4 linked regions of the Rattus norvegicus genome follow. The protein of the gene in region 2 interacts with the protein of the main gene of each other region in a pairwise test. Links are inferred from orthologs where the notes say so. Each region holds a gene or a part of one and is shown on either strand. Other genes may lie near its edges.

What was found.
Region 1: the proteins of Arrdc3 (region 2) and Ube2e2 interact in binary tests that used the Homo sapiens proteins (3 or more experiments, as listed by UniProt). The two-hybrid records come from large-scale screens. The link is inferred for Rattus norvegicus from reciprocal best matches to the Homo sapiens genes ARRDC3 and UBE2E2.
Region 3: the proteins of Arrdc3 (region 2) and Tnfaip3 interact in binary tests that used the Homo sapiens proteins (3 or more experiments, as listed by UniProt). The two-hybrid records come from large-scale screens. The link is inferred for Rattus norvegicus from reciprocal best matches to the Homo sapiens genes ARRDC3 and TNFAIP3.
Region 4: the proteins of Arrdc3 (region 2) and Otub2 interact in binary tests that used the Homo sapiens proteins (3 or more experiments, as listed by UniProt). The two-hybrid records come from large-scale screens. The link is inferred for Rattus norvegicus from reciprocal best matches to the Homo sapiens genes ARRDC3 and OTUB2.

The regions. Positions count from the first base shown.
Region 1 is NC_086033.1:9,409,679-9,414,691, reverse strand, and holds the start of Ube2e2 (ubiquitin-conjugating enzyme E2 E2), read right to left. Parts: upstream 3,073-5,013; 5' UTR 2,963-3,072; intron 1-2,962.
Region 2 is NC_086020.1:12,871,238-12,876,352, forward strand, and holds the start of Arrdc3 (arrestin domain-containing protein 3), read left to right. Parts: upstream 1-1,964; 5' UTR 1,965-2,200; coding exon 2,201-2,480; exon of another isoform or gene 2,481-3,445; intron 3,446-3,656; exon of another isoform or gene 3,657-3,793; intron 3,794-4,681; exon of another isoform or gene 4,682-5,028; coding exon of another isoform or gene 5,029-5,041; intron 5,042-5,115. UniProt on the Homo sapiens protein: Adapter protein that plays a role in regulating cell-surface expression of adrenergic receptors and probably also other G protein-coupled receptors.
Region 3 is NC_086019.1:15,530,453-15,534,264, forward strand, and holds part of Tnfaip3 (TNF alpha induced protein 3), read right to left. Parts: intron 3,348-3,812; coding exon 3,167-3,347; intron 2,967-3,166; coding exon 2,086-2,966; intron 1,351-2,085; coding exon 1,169-1,350; intron 564-1,168; coding exon 279-563; 3' UTR 1-278. UniProt on the Homo sapiens protein: Ubiquitin-editing enzyme that contains both ubiquitin ligase and deubiquitinase activities.
Region 4 is NC_086024.1:128,308,035-128,313,278, forward strand, and holds the start of Otub2 (ubiquitin thioesterase OTUB2), read left to right. Parts: upstream 1-1,828; 5' UTR 1,829-2,025; coding exon 2,026-2,028; intron 2,029-5,244. UniProt on the Homo sapiens protein: Hydrolase that can remove conjugated ubiquitin from proteins in vitro and may therefore play an important regulatory role at the level of protein turnover by preventing degradation.

The sequences.
Region 1 (5,013 bases), on a different chromosome or scaffold from region 2:
AGTGATGATGACGCGTCCAAAGACACTACATGTGACGTCACCACCCTCATCCTAGTCCCTTTGTTCATAACAAACAGTAAGGCTGTTTGAATAGCTGTCAAACACTCACAAGACATCCGGCCTGTGCTCCCACCTCTCCTGTAAATGGAGGGCATCATTCTCCATGGCTAAGACACCTTTTATGAGCAATAAAGTCACTTAATAGAACACTGAAATTTTATGTCAGTTATGTTTCCCGTCTAGCTCAAAAAGTCTGAGCATATTTCTTAGGGTTTCTTATTTGACTTTAACCTTCTCATTACTTGGGTTTAATATTTGTACTCTTTCTCAGCTTGCTTCTTTGAGCTAAAATATACCTAAAGTTAAAAGCCTTGTAAGTAGGTACCCTATAGCTTGCTGGATAAGCAGGTGTATAGGGAAACAGAAAGAAGCATTCTTAGGATTAGATGCTCTCAGGGGCAGGACACCGTGGGCACTCTTAAGAGATGTGAAATCAGTGAGAAACTGTTCTATGTATCTGAAACCTGAGGCAATCCATCACACGGCAGACACCAGAACTGCAGGAAAGTGGCTCCCTTACACTGCGGCCACGGCTATGACTGCTGTGTGCTGAGTCAGTCGTGAAGTGCGCACTCGTTTCGATACTCTTTATGTGCACACCTGATAATGTGTAAACTCTACAGTTACTGAATAGGCCACTCTGTGATGTAGTGGGCTACAACCTGAAACTGAAACATCCATGACTACAGCAGAAGACCAGAAGAGTAAAGGACTAAAACTACTACTGAAGGTCTGGGGGATGGGGCTCAGTTCCAGAGCGCCTGCCAAGCATGTATGTTAAGGCCTGGGTTCCATACAGAACACTTCCCCAGAATCTTCTGAAATGGCTAAACAGAAGCATCGCTTCTATAGTTTTACAGCTTAAAAAAGTCGTTTCTACTTTTCATCTAAGATACCTTATCTGACCCAAAGTTTTACCTACTAATGACAGATCCTCCTGAGGCCACTGATAAGCACTACAAAAACCATTCAGAAACAAAGGCTCTGTATCCCATTTTCAAATGTCAAAAGTTAAGAGACTCTCTGCTGGATTACAGAAAAAAAGGGGACAACGTGATCGTGTACTCTGGGACAATTAATTCATATGAGAGGAGACCCTCTATAGATAATTCAAATTAACTCTGTGTCAAATTGGTGTCTCGTCTCTCTAAAGTATAAATGAGTAGGCTCCTGCATTAAAACTTCCACATATTATCTTTACTAGCATTTTAAAATTAATTCCTAAAGAGCTAATTCCCTAATCTAGAAGGAAGCTAGGTTCCAGGGATCTCACTAAACACAAATGCATCCTCCAACGACAGTTTCAAAGAACTTAAGGCACCTCAAGTGGTATTTTTACTTCAGATTCAGAGCAAACCGTAGTCCCTAACTAAACATAAATGCATTACATTTAAGAATTGAAACACTCATTTTCTAAGCTTTGTTGACTATACGCTCTGTGATGTCATGGGGTTCTGGAAATTCCCTGCCAGCACATAGAGAGTGAAAGTAGCCTGTTTCAGAAAAACTAAAGGATCTGGCTGCAAATCCCAGCGAGGAAAGCAACAGTACTGCAGTCCACATTACTATCCAAATCACCAAATATCAAGATTTTCAAAAGCTCAGGAAAGCAAGAATTCATTTGTGCTGCTCCGACAGGAAAATGTGAACTTGTCGTTGACGTCCCGGTTTCTCTACTTGGGATTTCTGAACTTTTCCAAAACGTGAAATGTTGTATGTTATGTGCCGATCATGTAGCGCTACCCAGCTTTCCAAGTGACTGAAAAGATATTTATTCGAAAAATAAAAGTGGAGCACCTGACTGGGGGAAGTGCTGTGCCCTAGGGGAAAGAGCTCAAGGTACGGCATATGAAAACACTCCATCTTCATCGCACACAAACGAAACTGCAAAGCGCCCAGGAGCATCCTGACTGCCTGAGTAAAGACAAATATTTAGATTCCCAAGACTCGGACTTGGTTATCGCATCTCTAGAGCGTGTTTTTCAAAATGCAAGGATTTAAAACTAAGACGAGCTCTTAAAAATCTTTCTGAACAGTAAGGCAATCAGAGGCAAGTCCTAGCAAATTCTTTTGTACTTTAAAATGGAAATACTCGAGTAGACCCTCAAAATGACACAATGCAGGGTTGGACGATAAGAGTCTTGCAAACCAGCAAATGGGTCCAAGAGCTGCCACCAAGCCCAGGGTGATGATGTCTCTCTAATGCGGCCTTAATTTCCTTTAGGGAAGATGGATGGGGCATTTCTGGTTAGTCGTGGGAAAAGACGCAAGAAGCCAGGCTTTATGTTCATTAGAATTGGAAAAAGGCAAATGGATCAAAACATTAGGAGCAAAGAAGGGGGTGGGTGGGGGTGGGGGGACAGAGGGAATCCAGTTTCCAATCAGGCCAGTGGGGGCTGCAGAGAAGCCAGAGGAAAACCGGCTTCGGAGCCAAACTGTGCCAAGCACCAGGCATTACAAAAGACCAGTGTGACGCCCCCCACCCCGGGGCATCACGCACACACTCAGCCGGTATTCCCGGGCGGGCCCTCGCCCGCTTGGACACCTCGTGTAGCAATTATGCAATTAGGGAAGAGCTCGGGACAGCCGGGCACTTTGCACCGCGACATCCATCCTGGACTTTGCGGAGACTTAGTTCCTGGCTGCGGTGGGCGCGGGAGGGGAGAGGACAGGTCCTCGAAGGCGAAGGAGGGCCACACTCTGCGGGAGGGGGGAGGGGCGCGCGGGCCCCAGCGGGCACGCGCAGGGCCAGGGAGGCCTGCGGGGCCGCGGGCGCGCGCCCGAGCCGAGGCCGCGGCGGGGGCGGGGATCTCGCCGGTCTGCCCCTCGCCGCGTGGGGTCCCCGCGCGCCCTACGCCGGGGCTCCGGCCGCGGCCACGCCCGCCCGCCCGCGCCTACTCACCTCGCGGCGCCGCCCGCGCTCCAGCCGCGGCTCGGACGCCGAGTCCGGGAGTGAAGCCGCCGCCTCCGCGAGCCGCCGCTGCCGCCGCCGCCCGCCGTCCGCGCGCGCCCCCTCCCAAGCGCGCACTCGCCCTGCCTGCCCCGAGAGCCCGCGACAGCGCGAGCCCCACGTCGGCCTCGCGGTGCCGCGCCCGCGAGCCCGCGACGCGCTTTGGCCCCGCCCCCGCCGGCGCGTGCCCGCGCGCGGGGGGGACCAGTAAGGTGCGCGCGCAAAAGTAAAGTGACAGCTGAGTCCTGGGCCCGGTAAAGGCGGGTTAGGGCGAAGGGAAATGGAGGAGGGAAATCGAGGCTCGACGGCGGCGCGAAGGGAGGGACGCGAGGACCTTGACGAGCGCGCGCAGTAAAGGGACACGCATTAAAGGGACACGCGGGCTAAGGGGTGGGGGTGCGTTTCAGGAGGGTGCAGTGCGGCGGAGTTGGATGAAGGGTAGGGAGACCCCCTCCCCCCCGACCCACACACACCATGCACCCACCAGCTTGTGCTCGTGCAGGACCCACCTGCCCCGCGGTTGGGAAACTTCGCGTGGGCCCGGATGAAGCCTCGCTTTACCCCATAACTGCTGCAGGAAAGGTCCTGCTGAGCCTAGTTCTGTCCAGGAATGCTGGCTGCCACCCTGGGAGGCTGCGGAGGGCGGGGCGGGGCGGGGCGAAGGGTGCAGCACTATCAGAGTGAGTGGGAGGCTGCCACTGAAAGACCCGCGTGGGACAGTAGCTGTGCTGTGAGTGGCCTGAGGAATATCAGGTTTCCCAGTCATTGTAGCCCAAAATAGGCACTGAAGAAAAAATTGCACATTCTGGGTTAACTCAGCACCCATGAACTCACCTCATCACCACCACCACCACCACCACCACCCACACACACACACACACACACACACACACACACACACACACACACACACACGGCCCTCCAGCCTATCATAACAGCTAAGATCTAAGACTACTCTTAACTTCTGTGAGGATTCTTGGGAGCGGTTGAGCCCATGCAGTAGTTCTGCCCAACAGAAAGGGCTGGGACCTCCATTCTCACGGATGAGAGGGGAAGACCCATTACGCTCCAAGACACTTGAACAGTGATAGCCAATACATAGGAAACCATGGGGAACCCAGCCTAACAGCCTAACACCTAACAGGTGGCCATAGGCCACCATGAGAATGTGAAGCCCTGAGTCAATCAAGAACTAGTGAAAAAAGACGCCAGAGACTAGAGCAATACAAGACCCAGAACCGGCTTCTGGAACAGAAAATGCTTCCACGAGATGCATTCTTCAAGAGTTGGCTTTTAACTAATTAAGTCACTGAAAACTGCCCCAAGCAGCTAATGGTGTCTAGCCTGGAACTCACCACTGAGGAAAAATAACAGCACCTTTGTCCTTAGGAATGTCAGCTCAAGAATGTTTGGGAGGGAGGGTTGGAAATGGTGAAACCTGGTTTTCTGGTTTGTGTGGCCACGTACAGCTGTCTCATGGTGTATTAGGAGAATACTAATACATGTACTAGTACAGTGTGTTAGTAGAAATGCATCATGTTTAAATATTATCAAATACAGTATTTCACAGACAGTCTTAAGTGTCTATATAAATTATCTTCCCTCATGGAATCTTTGCACGTTCTCGGTTTGCAAATATCCTGATCGTTTCAAGAGTACAGACATAGGGAAGACTTGGTTGTGTTTTGAAACTCTTTAAAAATTGTTTTGTTTTGATGCTGGGATTGGACCCAGGGCTTCAACAGGCTAAGCAGGCACAGGAGTTCTGCCACTGAACTCTACCCTGTGCCCCTGGTAGCCTACGCTTCTGTGTGTGCTGTTGGCTTACAGTGAATGTTTCATGAGGAAGCGTGCTTCTGCCCCAGCCGCTGTCAAGTCGTTTTGTAGTTCCGTCACTGGCAGTGGGGCCTGGGGATGCAGTGATGTCAGTTTCCACTCAGGGGATAGGATTGAAGAACTTCGCTGCATTTGTTGATCTGCAGATGTTTTAGCTGATATTTTAC
Region 2 (5,115 bases):
AATGTGATATATATATACATATATATATGTATATATATTGGAGAAATTTTACCAAAACCACAGCAGTCATTCAGCAGCCTTCAATAATTTTAAATGTAAGTTTGGTAAAGAATTTTTGTACAGGGACCTGGAGAACTGACAAAACTGTTAGGAGTATTTTCTGCTCTTCTGGAGGATCTGAGTTCAGTTCACAGCACCCACATAGCCAGGTTCACAACTACCTATAGCTCCAGTAACAGGGAATCTGAGGCCACTTATCTTTTGGCTGAACAGGTACCAGACCATACCATGCATGCTTTCACACAGATATACATACATACATACATACATACATACATACATACATACATACATACATACACACATACATAAAAATTTTAAAAATTTTAACTCCACTCCCTGCTCAATTTTATATGATTGTCTAATGCATTATTCACCTTATACTGAACAAAATTTGACATTCTAGCAAAGTCATGGCTGTTCCACTAGGGGGAGAAAAACACCAGTAGTATTTGTTACCAACCCTTAGCCCAAGGGTTAGGCACTTTACTTACATTATCCACCAGGTGTCAACCGAGAGAAGAAAGTTACCCCCCCCCCCCCCCCGCCTTAAAATACACAAATGTGTAATTTTATGCTTAACAAGCCAAACTCTTCAGACAAACGGCTTGCCCAGTAATTATTCTTGACATAGTTATATTCTAGATTTTTTTAGCTCACATGTCAAGTCAAATAAAATGTAATTAAATAAAAATGTAGATTTTTTTAAAATAAAGAAAACAGCAAAATAGTTCGTTTGTTGTGATTCGCCCTATCCGGATTTACCATGCAAAAAGGATCTGATGTTTAACTATAGACAACCTCGTCCGATTTTGGCTATGCATAAAACAGGATTTCATAATATAGCCATGTTATGAGGTTATGTTGACTGTTAATGATCTTAGTCTATGCCATTACCCTCTAAATCCTGGTGATGTTTAGAACTGCATTTTTTTACTCAAGGCATTGAAAAAAGGAGAAATGTGCCTGTATTTAAAGATGTAGCACGGCAATTAGCATGTTGAAGTAAAAGTAAGGCTTAAAAATTAAGCCTCATTTATGTAACAAATCATACTTAAAAACCAAAAACCACCGTATATGCTTTTCTAGCTAAGACTTTTCAGTCTGTTGTAAACAGTGTCAGCTAAATGACTATGTTCAAACTGTCTCTTATGAGGTGGTAATTAGGGGTGTGAGCTCTATTCTTATTCCTGAGGATACAGAAGTTGTAATCGCGTCATTCTCTGCAATGGAGCAGTAGGTGGTGTCTTGAAAAAGGACTTTTTCTCCCGTCGAGGAAGTGGTCGGGCCTACACACTACACAGACAACTTGGTCGAGTTTGAAGCTGTAGGAGTCTGGGAAGGCAGCTGAAGACAAGAGCTGCCTGGAGCATTGTTCTTTGGCTCCTAAGGCCTTGGCTTAGTCCATTGCCACCCTGTCTACAAAGTCCTGCTTGCTTTTGTTGTTTCTATCCAAGTCAACAATGCTTTCTAGTATGAACAATATTTGTCTGCTTTTTATTACATTTTCTTTTGAAATTCATTAGCTTAGACTGGGGCCACCAGCGGCTTGCCCAACCGGTTTCTCCCCTTCCCCCACGGCTCGCACGTCCTGCGGGTCCGCGGTACGGGCGCACACCCTGGCCTGGCGCCGCCGGGCCCCTCTACCTAGCTCGCGGAGCGCGTGCGGGGCCGGCGCTGCAGCCGCGCGGAGTGCCCGCCGGCCAATCGCTGCGGCCCATGCACCGAAGTCAGGGACGCCGGCTCCACACCTACTGTACCGGGAGCGCGCGACGAGAGGGAGGCGCGCGCCTCGCGGGAGGGAACGCGCAGGGAGGCTGGCTGCAGTCGCGGCCTGCGCCTGCGCACTGGGGTTGTTTTTCACAAAGCTGCTCTTAAAGTGAGCTGGCAGCCTCCAGCCGCCCGTCTTTGTAAGGAGACCACTGAGACGAGCAGGAGCGTGGAGCAGCGGCTTCTCTGCTGCCCTGACTTTTTAAGAAATCTCAATGAACTATTTGTAGACAATCACTGATCCTGCCTGCAAGATTTTTTTTTCTTTTGCACGGCAAAGACACCGATCAGTGTTAAGTGAAGATCACATCTTATATGCGATCTTGACTTTTTTTGGTCTTATTATATTTTTATAGATTTTGTTATAATCATGGTGCTGGGAAAGGTAAAGAGTTTGACAATAAGCTTTGACTGTCTTAATGACAGTAATGTCCCCGTGTATTCTAGCGGGGACACTGTCTCAGGAAGGGTAAATTTAGAAGTTACTGGGGAAATCAGAGTAAAATCTCTTAAAATTCATGCAAGAGGACATGCGAAAGTACGCTGGACTGAATCAAGAAACGCCGGCTCCAATACTGCCTATACACAGAATTACACTGAAGAAGTAGAATATTTCAACCATAAAGACATCTTAATTGGGCACGAAAGAGGTAAGTTTTTATATTAGTCACTACATTCTACTTCTGTGCATGAGAACTTTAATCTCCTTTAATGCAGTTCTAGTCGGCAGTTTGATGAAGGTAGCAAACTTAGAAGATGTAGTTTCTCCTTGACGTCCAAGCGTGTTAAGCTGTAATCCATGCAGGCGTCTGCAAAGTGAGTGCAAACTGCACTTAACTTCATCTGTAACCGGCTTCATATCTGCCATACGCACCTTATAACGTGTTCAAATGTGACTCCGTCGTTTTACTGATATTTTCAAATTCATTTGCAAAGACTGCAGTCCAATGTTGGATTTCTCCTTTTATTTTACAATCTTAGATACAGGAAGGAGCACCAATAAAGAACTGTAGTGACATTTTAAGAAGGTTGCTAGATGTATCTGCTTTTGATATTAACGTGCAAACGACTTTAAAGACTTGATTATTGTTCTTTGATAAAGGGTTTCCCTGGCTTATTTTGACATATGGCATCAACACCCCCACGTGTTTTCCCATTTCTCCCAATTCCTTTTAAAATGTACATCAAGCACCATTTATTTTAAAGGATAATATCTATCATTATGCAAACTATTAAGTCAGTTTAGAAGCCATTCCGGGTCAGTACTTTTCTTCTCGGAGCATCATGTCTAACTTTGGAACGTGGATTCAATGAAACCCATGGCAGACAGATGGAATTGAAAAGTATATGGCACATCGGATTTGGTTTTTGGGTACAAGATGAAGATTAAGGCATTGTCAAAGGGACAAGAGGTCCTAAGATTTGCGATCTGTTGTTTAAGTGGCTACAATGTGGAAATATAGGCGACTCCAAGCTTGTTTTTCTAAGTTTCCACCCTTTGTTAGAAGCGGTTCAATCCTGTTTCGGACCAGTTCTGGGGGATGGTGAGGAGGGGCGCTTGTTCTGCTCTCAGCAGATTGGTTACACGCGTCAGGTGGTGGCGATGACTTAATTCCTAGTCCAAGAAGAATATAATGTTAAAACTGGTTATGTAATTTGTGTTTCTTCTTTCTAATGCAGTATTTTAGTGCAAATACTGGCGATTTTTCAGATAGAGGCATGCTTTTTTTTTTAAGTATCTAAAATATACATCCTAGGGAGACGTTAATTGAACTTAACGCAAGTGAGAAATGGAGGATGCTTTAAGTTACACAGAATTAATGTACCGTCTTTTAAATATAAAGGTGAAGCCAAGTCTTGGGGTTTACGCAGCTACACCGAGGTGTTCTACATGCTGAAATGGTTCCCTAGTTCACCTTCCGCAGCGTCCACACGAATGGGCCATACAGTACCTAATGACAGCGCTCGTATTTGTTTTTTAAAAAGGGCAGATCCATGAATTTGCTTTTGAACCTGCTTTGACGTCGCACCCTTTAAAAACATAAGAAGAGACAAAGGCTTTTTCCTCGAAGAGTTAAGACTTGTAGTAGGGGGGAAAGAACGAGTTCTGTGGACACACACTTGATCCGTTGCACCACGATCTCACAGTTAAGATAACTACCTGCGCCCTGCGAGGTGCCCCAGCAAGCCTGGCTACGCGTGGACGGGCTCTTAAGGCTGGAATAGTTTCAATGACTTCAAACTGGCAGCTCGCTCAAACTAGCCTGGTAGCTGAGCGCCCGCCCCGGGCGCCCAGCGATAGGCGGAGCTGCGTTTGTTAGCCTGTTGCTAAGGCGATGCCAGGCGTTGATTGGACTGGGCACGGGGGGGGGGGGGCGAGGGGGAAGTCGAGCCGGCTCGCGCCGGCTGGGGCGAGGCTTGGAACCGGCGTGCGCCGGTAAAGGTCTCTCCCGGCCAGCCGCCTCCGCCCCTCGGCGCGCCCCTCTCCGGGTGTCCCAGGCCCCTCGCCCACTGCAGCCGCCGCAGGTTTCATTGCCCTGGGCTCAAGCTCGGTTAAAAATCCCACCAAAGGCTGATCGAGGTGCGGGCGCCAGGGTACCCCCGGGGCTGGTACCTGTGTGACCCGAGGGGACATGACACAGGACAGATAGGGGAGACATCACCGGCACCAACTGGGCCTCGCCCATTGTTCCCCGGGGCCTCCGCCTCCGCGCCGCCGCCCCAGTTCCCCCTCGCTGTAACAGCGAAGGTGTCAGGGTGGCCTGAGCCAGATTGAACCGGTCACCGGCTGGGGCGTGGAAAGCGGAAGCTCGGCTTGCTGTGGCTCCGCCTCCGGCCCAGCATTCTAGGCTGCTCGGGCGCGAGCGCCGCGCGACGTATGCCGTATGTATAGCGGGGCGCGCGGAGCGCGGCCGCGCGCGGGCGGGCCGGCTGGGATCTGCTCAGCGCCGGTTTAGGCCGGTCCTCTCCTGCTCTAGTCTAGTTCTTGATTGACAGCCAGGCACTTGTTTACCACGGCGCGGCGGCCGCAGCACTCCTCAATGAGACTGCTGAGCTGGCACAAAAGGGAGCCGAGGAAGAAAGGGAGAGAGGCGAAGTTTGGGCGCCTTGGAGGGAGCGAATTGACGGGCCATGGCTCCCCCGGCCGGTCCTCAGGGCTGACGCTGTACAGGGGCTCCCCAGGAGGCTCTGGAAGCAATGCGCAGATATGGTCAGGTCACCATGATTTAGGGATGAAAGTCATATTTTTATGTATTTTCAGTACTTCGGCGAAGTGTAATGATA
Region 3 (3,812 bases), on a different chromosome or scaffold from region 2:
GGTAGGTGGAGCAGCGACAGCTTCAGACTGAACCCGACCTCATGCACTGCCGGTAACCAGGTCTACTCTCAGCCCACCAGGACACAGTCTTGGTTACCAACCGGACGGCCATGGCCATGATGAGGGAAGAGCTTATCTGGTCTACTTTGCTCAAAGACACTTGAAGCCACTGTCCCAGGGCCCACCCTTCCCGTGGCACTCAGGGGTCTGGACGACAGCACCACTCTGGCTGGCAGTTTGAGGCCCCCTTCTTCCGGGACCAATCAATGTGTCCGCACTTAGCCGTACATCTGCTTGAACTGGTAGCACTCATTGCAGTAACCATTACACTTGGCATTGCCAAAGTGATCGCAAGCAGGGGCCCGGCAGCGCTGCTTAGGGGGCTCTTCAGGAGTGGGCTCACCCCGGTGGGCCAAAGAAGCTATTCGCTGGCTTAGGTGCTGGCACTCCATACAGAGTTCCTCACTGCGACAAGCCAGGATGTTCTTGCAAGAGGCCCGGGCACACTTCGGCCTTGAGGCTCCCTGTGTGGTTCGAGGCATTTCTCTACGCTGGCTTGATCTCTGAGTGGGAAGAGAGAGAGAGAGAGAGAGAGAGAGAGAGAGAGAGAGAGAGAGAGAGAGAGAGAGAGAGGTGTTACATTTCTCAGGAGACCAGAGGGACTTCAAATTAACAGGGTGGATTCTACCGAGTGTTCGATCTGCCTGAGTGGGAGAAGTGTATGTGTAACTGAGGACCGCCAATCCCAGGAGAAGCCGACCGCCTGGTTCTGTCCGAGGGAACATTTTTGTCTGTTTGTTTGTGTGTTGTTTGTGTTTTCCCGACATGCCAGTAAATGGAAGCAGCCTCGGTGTTTGGGATAAAGGACTGTTTGGAAAGTCTGCTTCTCCTTCATTTCTAACATGTCCCTCCCTGATCACCCTGGCTTTCGGGACGCTTGCAGGAGGTTTCAGTCTACAGCTGACTGCACTGGCTTTTCAGAATAAATTCTAAGTGTACTTAGGCCATGCAATATTTCCACCCCGGGAGCCAATGAAATGTGGTTGGCTTTTCCAGGCTCTCTTCCGGCAGACTTTTCAAAGAGGCCCTTTGTCATAAGGAGACAGTCTATCTGTCATGGATGAAGGACCTGGATACCAGAGGGGTCAAGCTCCACCAAATGTCTCACCAGTTGTTCTTCAGGCCTTTTGGCTTCATGAAATCTCTGGTTCTGAGCTTCAATGAAACACTTCTGACAGTACCCTTCAAACATGGTGCTTCCCAGGGTGCCACACTCCCTGCCCAGGCACGGGATGTTGTTCTGGAATCTGGGGGCCGAGGAAGCGGCTTTCCCAGAGGCGGTGACAGACTCTACAAAAGAGTAGGTGCTATTCAGTATCACATCCGGGTTACAGTGCACACACACACACACACACACACACACACACACACACACACACACACACAGATGTTAGAGAAGAAATGGATCCCAGCCTAGGTTCGCACAACTTTTAAGCAGGTGCTTAAGACCAAACTTACGTCAGCGAACATCTTTGGATCTACTGATATTAATTTAACTTTGAATACGGATCACCGATCTGTCAAAGACCAAACAGCAGACACGAGCTGTTTACCAGTCCTTAAGCCACAAATGTTTTCCTGGCATCCGTAAATACTTCCTGTTCTTTATTAGCTATCTTTAGACCATCTCACCAACATCGCTGAAGTCTAAACTCTCCATGGATGGCAGATACTCAATAGCCTTATTAAAATCAGCCCACAGTTTGGTGTGGCAGTACATGTAGAAATCCCAGCACTCAGGGGTCAGAAGCATAAAGATTGCCAGGACTCTGAGGCCACCCTGGGCTACATAATGGGTTCATCTTGGGCTAGCATGAACTACATCTCTAGGATACTTTTAATTTAGAGTACGTGGTAACTAGAGCTGCTGTAATGAGATGGTGTTTACTGCTTTCAGGTACAAAAGCAGAGCAACGACAACTGTCCCCAGGCACAAACCAACTGCTGAGGTAGGCTACTTTCTTGACACTCAGGGTCCTGTCTAGACAGTAGCTACTGCAATGGGCAATCTATGATTTCACTCACGTTTATTTTCTCTGTATTCGATGAAACATAGCGTGCAAAAGCCCTTGTTTTCCGGAGTCCCAAAATACATGCAGCCAGCTTTTCTGCACTTGCTTGTCCCAGTTCTGTCTGCTGGAGTCCGTGATGTCTGGGAAAGGTAGCCAGAGGGGACGGCATTTCCAGTTCGGTGGCAAGAGTGTGGGGTGAGACTTTGGATGAGTTGTGAGGGGTCAGACTTGGAGCGCTGGTGACAGGAGGGAGGGACACTGGAAGTGAGGCTGGAGGTGGGCTCTGCCGTAGTCCTTTTGAAACAGGTACTACAGATGCCGTTAAACGTCCGAGTGACATCCTGAAGGCAGGCTTGGCACTTACCGGGGTCTGCGGTGTGGCTGGCGCTCATCTGCCGCGCATTGTGACAACGCTCACAGAATCCGTTGTGTTGCACGTTCAGCGTGAAAGGGCACCCGGGGCTCCTGCACTTCATTGCAGTGGTCTCACTGAACAGGAAAAGGCTGGGGGCCGTGGGTGGGGCCGAATGGGGGCCTCCAGCTGTTTCCTCGGGGTTCCAGTTCGAGGAGCCAAGTCCCACCGCTGGGAGTCCTCCCTCAGGGCCCAGCTTCGAGTTCAGCTTTGGGAGTTTGCTCTGGTTCTTTTGACGCCTCTCGGAGCACTCGTGGCATAAAGGCTGAGTGTTGACGGACATGAAGAAAGGACAGTTGGGCGTCTCACATTTTATATCCATGAGTGATAGCTGGGGTGTGGAAGCCTCCAAAGGGTTCTGCGCATGCGCCCCTCTCCTGCCCTGATCGCCGTTTTCTTGCCACTTCTTGTATTCGTGCTGAACAAGCTCGAAGTAGTCGTCTACCAGATTTATTTCTTTGGGTAGATTAGCTTCATCTAACCTAGAGGACAAACAGGGAAATAAGTGAATCCAAGGAACACAAGACCGTATACCATTAGCTCCTAGACCACATTTCCGGAATGCGGTCCAGGGCCATGACTTCACAGTCAGCACCAAAATGCAGGCTTGTAACAGGACAGGTCCAGGGCACATCCTGTCACGCCCTCCCGTCAAGAAGGCACAACAAAGGAGACTGCTTACTTGGCAGCATTGATCAGGTGAGTCGTGCCGTGGTCCCAGCCTTGCACCGGGATCTCCAGCACCATCAAGTACTCCTTGAGAAGCTTTTCCTTCATCTCATGTTCAGGGTCTGTCAAAAAGTGAACCTTCAAGTCTTCAAACCTACCCCGCTCTCTGTTAACAAGTGGAACAGCTCGAATTTCTGAAGGAAGAAAAAAAAAATTAGTGAGTGAGTAAAACACGATGGTGCAGATGAGGTCGTAAAATGATCCAAATTTAAAGATACAAAAGGCATAGAAGAGTAGAAAAGCATCTTCCAGCCACACTTAAGCCCAAACCAGAAAAAAAAATGTGAGAAACACTTTGTTTCCAGGGAGGTCACAGAACGCCAAGGGACCCAAGGCTCACAGACTGCTTTTCAGCAAAGACTTCATTTGTGGTCTCGCATTCTTATTGTAGCCAAAAGGCTGAGAAGCAGTTTTTAGTTTTTGCTTAGAATACAGAGGTTCTGTACTTTTTTCTGTGCCTTTACAAATAGACACACAAATGCTCTTTGGCTGTAATTGAGCTTCTCTCCCTGTCCTTCCTGCTGCCCTGTCTTTCAACATTGTCTGCCTTCTACTTCTACTGTCTTACCCTTTAAAACGAAATCCAGATTCCATATATG
Region 4 (5,244 bases), on a different chromosome or scaffold from region 2:
TATACACATATATGCACACATATACATACACACACTCATATATATGCACACACATATACACACATATATGCACACACATATACACAGATACACACATATGCACACACATATACATATACACACATATATAGGCACACACATATACACACATACATACACACACACACACACACACACAGGCATGGTTGCTTGCTTTTATAATCTTAGCACTAGAGATGAAGAGACAATAGGCTCCCTAAGGCTCTCTGGCCAGCTAGTCTAATGGATTCTGTGAGATCCAGGTTCAAGTAGAGACTCTGTCCCCAAAATAAGGTGGAAGGGCTGGAGTGACAGTTCTGGGTTAAGAGCATGCACTTCCTGCTTTTCCTGAGAATTCAAGTCTGTTCCCAACATATGTCAGGCAGCTTCTCAGCTGTCTATAATGCAAGCTCCAAGGCATCCTATAGATCCTCTGGCCTCCACGTACCTGCACTCACACACATACCCACATTCAGACATCCACACCCACACATATGCTGCTAAAATTCCTTCCTAGGGATCAGATATGTGCCTACTCCTCCCAAGGTCTCAATGACAAATCAAAGCACAATTCCACAAAAGTTTACTTTGGGGAAACAGTGAGTTTGTTGGGCTTCCTTACAGAGCATAGGTAAGGGATTTGAGACAGGGTTTCACTGTACGGTCCTGAGTGTCCTGGAACTTGATCTATCAGTCTGGCTTCAAACTCAGAGTCCAGTCTGTCTCTGCCTCAAATGCTGGGATTAAAGGCTTGTGGTACCACACCCAGCTAATAAGAATAAACCTTAAAAAATAATAAAGTGGAAAGAAATAGGGGAAGACACCTAAGTTTACCTCTGACTTTGGCATATGCAGCACAGGTACACACACACACACACACACACACACACACACACACACACACACACACCCCATACAATGAAAAAATGCACTATGCTTGCCTCACTCCAAATGTACCAACCATCTTGGCTTTGCACCACAGAATATTGGGGGTGTGTCTATTGTCTTCTTTGGTGGGGCTGACTGAGCCTCAGTTTTCTGAGGTTATGAGAGTCACCTGTCATTAGCTCAGGAAAAGAGCCAAACAGTGTCTATCCAACATTATCGTTTTTTACACCGAAGTGAAGTAGAACCATCTAAGTCCCAGAACCTACTAAAATAGTTATGTGCTATATACAGGAGCCCCACACAGCACTCAAAATAACTCCTTCAGGGGTCAAGGGCTGACAAACAAACCTTTTAATAATATTTCCTCTTTGATGTCCAGTAATTATGAGCTTGTATACAGGGTGACTCACCTACACCTGGTTCAGTATTGTGTTTTCTACACACCCCTACAGCCACAGAGCCACGCTCAACCATCTCGAACGTTCATCCATTCAACAGATATTACCTGAATGCCTGTCTGATTCATGAGTTACAAAGAAGTAAAATATTATTTGTTGCTAGACAGCAGCCGGCAGGTAACTTAAATGTCTGACACTGGGCGCGTATTTCCTAAGCGCGTGTCTTCTGATCTTGAAAGAAATACACTTATGTATGTGAACTCGTTGATTAATTAACGAGGGCCATCTAATCTTCCAGATGCCTTCAATTTGCAGTTTTAGTTAAAAGTCCTTCTGTCTTTGCAAACCGGACCTGCTTTCTGGATTGGGCTAACTCCTTTGCTAGCTAAAAGCACTCTGTGTCTTTAAAAGGAGGGCGGCCTCCTGTCAAACGGGCCCCAAAACATAGGCCGAAGGCGAGTGCAGTCCCACCCACTTTCTGTGACGTCCCGCGTCCGGGCTTCTGATTGCGGGCCTCCGACGTCAATCGCGGGCCGTGCGTCTTGCTGGGACACAGTGGAGGTCTGCGCTCCGGTCTGAGGGGCGGTCGGGTGTATTCTGCACTCACCCCACACCCGCGAGGCCCGCGCCGCCCGACCCAACGGCGGAGCCGCCCAGCGCCTCCCCTGGCACCCGCTCGCTCCTCGCTGGAGCGAGACGTGGCCCGACGGCTCCGGTCACTATGGTCAGTGGTGGCGGGACGGGGAGGGGGCGCCGCCAGGGCGCGTGTGCGTGCGCGCGGTCGGGCGCGAGGCTTTAGCCCTTTCCACCCTCGGGATGGTGAACATCGGAGTGCGCCCGCCGCGCTATCCCTTCGGGGACCCACAGCCAGAAGATCCAGCCCAGGCTGAGCCCTGCTGCCTCGTGGCCACTCTAGGTGGTCCCCAGACACCTCCTTTAAGTCCTGATGCTTATGCCTGACTGGGAAGGAATGGGATACCTCTAGGGTTGTGGTCTCTACTCTTTGTTAAGTAGCACTCGTGTAGACAGCTTGCAGTCCACCCATCACAGACTTAGCCACCACAGACAGACCATACCCCAGCCAGTTGTCCCCAGGGACGAACGATCCGACCACCCGGGCAAGCCTTAATACTCCTTGATGTAAACTCAGTTTCCTAATGGCAACAGGTCTGTAGAGTCAGGACACATGAAGAGGCAGCCCCCGGTTGTGAAAGATGAGTTAGGAGTCCAGGCAAAGTGATTTAGAAGAACTTCCTAACAGAGGAGACCCAAGAAAACCTGGGCTGGTCAAACCCGGTCAAACCCAGGGCTTGGGCAAGTGGGGAAACTGAGGCCAGACAGGGAGAAAAGAAAGCTGGTAGGGATTGTGGTGGTGCAACAGCTAGGACTTGGACCCAAGCCCCTGGTCCAGTGTTCTGTGTTGCATCAGCCTACCCTCCAGGTTGCCATGGGGTCAGGCCTCCTACAGGGGATTGGATATGCTGGTTAGCCTATGTTATTCAACTTCCAGCAAAGGGCTCCAGGGAGCCTGACCATCTAGTGCTACTGGTCAACTTGGGGTCACTTAGTTCTGGGATTGCCTGCTCTTTCTGTTTTGTTTGGTGATGCTGGGTTTTGAACCGTTTTTCATGCATGCTAGATAAGGCTTGACTGCTAAGCTACACTCCAGTCTACTTAAGTCTGGGCTATCCCAATGGTTATTATGAGGAGTTGGGGTGGGGGGTGGCAGGGAGTGCAGGGGTGGGGAGATGGGGGGGGAGGGAGTGGCATGGGTGGTGGTGGTGGTGGTGGATGTGGTTTTCAACTAGGGTGTTTGAAATCCAGAGATTGGGTGGTGCAGGTGCCTGGTTCTTTGTGCTTGCCCCTCCTCCCACATTTGGGTCACTACTTCGGGACACTGTGAGGCTAGGGCCAGAGTCAAACCTGTGCTGGTATGGATAGACAGCCAGGGTATCTTCTTACAAGTCATTCTCCTGCCCTGTGGGGGAGGGGTGCAGTGTGTGTGTGTGTGTGTGTGTGTGTGTGTGTGTATCTCTCTGTGTGTGTCCGTGTGTGTGTGTCTGTGTGTGTGTCTGTGTGTCTGTGTGTGTGTGTGTAACTCAAAACTGGGGACGGACTGTAAGCACTAGTTTCCTGCTTGTTCTTGGTAACCCAAGGGTTTACTTGCTCTGCTGCTCTTGGAAAGCGGCCCAGGTATTTCTGCATTACCTGCCAGAGAATCGGGCTGTTGAAATGACAGTTTTAGCCACGCAGAATGGAGAGAGGATGGAGGATGGAGGAGGCTGTGTAGCTTCTGGCCACCAATGGTGGGTAGCAGATAGCAGACCAGTGCAGTAGGGACTGGGACCCCAACTTGTGTCCCTTACTGAATAGCTGGATCTGACCTGAACCCAGGAGACCAGCAGCTGGGACCCAAAGCAACTTCCCTCTGGGGAGTTTGGGTGCCTTGGAGAGGGAAGGGGAACAGGAGAAGAGAGGAAAGAGAGAGGAGAGGAAAGAGAGAGGAGAGGAAAGAGAGAAGAGAGAGAGATAATAGTTAAAACCCACCAAATAGGACATCTGCCTGGGAGTCACGAGGACAGAACTAGATGCTGTTTACATTGTGTTTATTATACACCCACTGTGTATTCGCCACCTTGTTAAGTCCTGAGGCCCATGGCTCATTTACCTGTAATGTGTTTAATGCGTTTAAATGTTGGCTGAGGTTACATGGCATGGGTGGTAGATGCAGTCTTAGGACTGACAGAATCTTCCTCTGTTTCCATGTCAGTGCCAGACAGAAGCCATGGAGTCCTTGGGAGTCAGGGCTGCAGACAGTGAGGGGCTCACCCTCACTATGTGTGCGTTTGCTCTTGGGGATGAGTGAGTGTGAGTATAGGCAGTCCGGGCACCCGTTCCTGTCTGCCTTCTTCTCTCGTGCATTAAAGAAACCAACGCTGGCATCCCCAGCCTATTTTGGGGCAGTGATAAGAAAGAACGACACCTGCCCTCTCCCGGAGTTCATGCTCTTGGGCTGGGTCACAGCTCCTGAATTACTGAGATGGCCTGAGAGCCCAACAGGGGCCTTGCACAGAGGAGCACGGTACCCTTCACCCGTAGGAAAAAGCTGGTGCTCAAGGTTGTATAGGAACATTCAGGAAGGACTGGCAAAGAGTACATTGCAGGTAGCAGGGAGATTGCCTTGGGACATGGTCAAGTGTGGGCATCCTGGGAAGAGTAAGATTGGGGGAGGCTGGGGGGAGCCCAGGGCAGTGAATCTGGGACAGGGGACAGGATCAGGGCTTTGCATGGGGGGCGGGCTGTTTAGTTTGGGTTGTCTGTACATGAGGGAACTGTTAGCATTTTTGACGAATATGGAATGGTTGCTAGCTCTGTCTGTCTGATGCTGGGTTGTGGGTGGCCAGCTGGAGGGAGAGGCAGGCTCGCTCATTCAGCATGCTTGCCGGTGCTACTGCAACAAAACCCTTCCGTGGGCCAGATCCACAGGGACTGCTTTTCCGATGAGTCTGGAGGCTGAGGTCTCAGGTGAATGTGCAGGGAGGGGCAGAGTCCCTCTGAAGGTGCTTAGGAATGTTCTACCCCCAGCTTCCCCAAGCTTCCCGCAGTAGCCTGCCTTATGACGTTGGAACTCCTCCACAGATGGCTCTCTTCTGTGCGTGTGTTTATAGTCCTCTTTTAATAAGGAAACCAGTCATGGGGCTGGTGGCCTAGCCTGCTCCATTGTGACCTCATCTTAACTAATTATATCACCGATGTCCCTATTCCAAAATTAAAAAAGAAAAATCATTCTGAGGCCCAGAGCTCCGGCTTCAGTAGTTCGGTTTGAAGCACTCGGGATACATTTTTAGAATGCATTCCAACATTCCTGAACATGGAGATCTGGCAGTGACAGATGACCGGCCCCTACCCTTGTGGAGTTGACATGGGAGTGGAGGGGCAC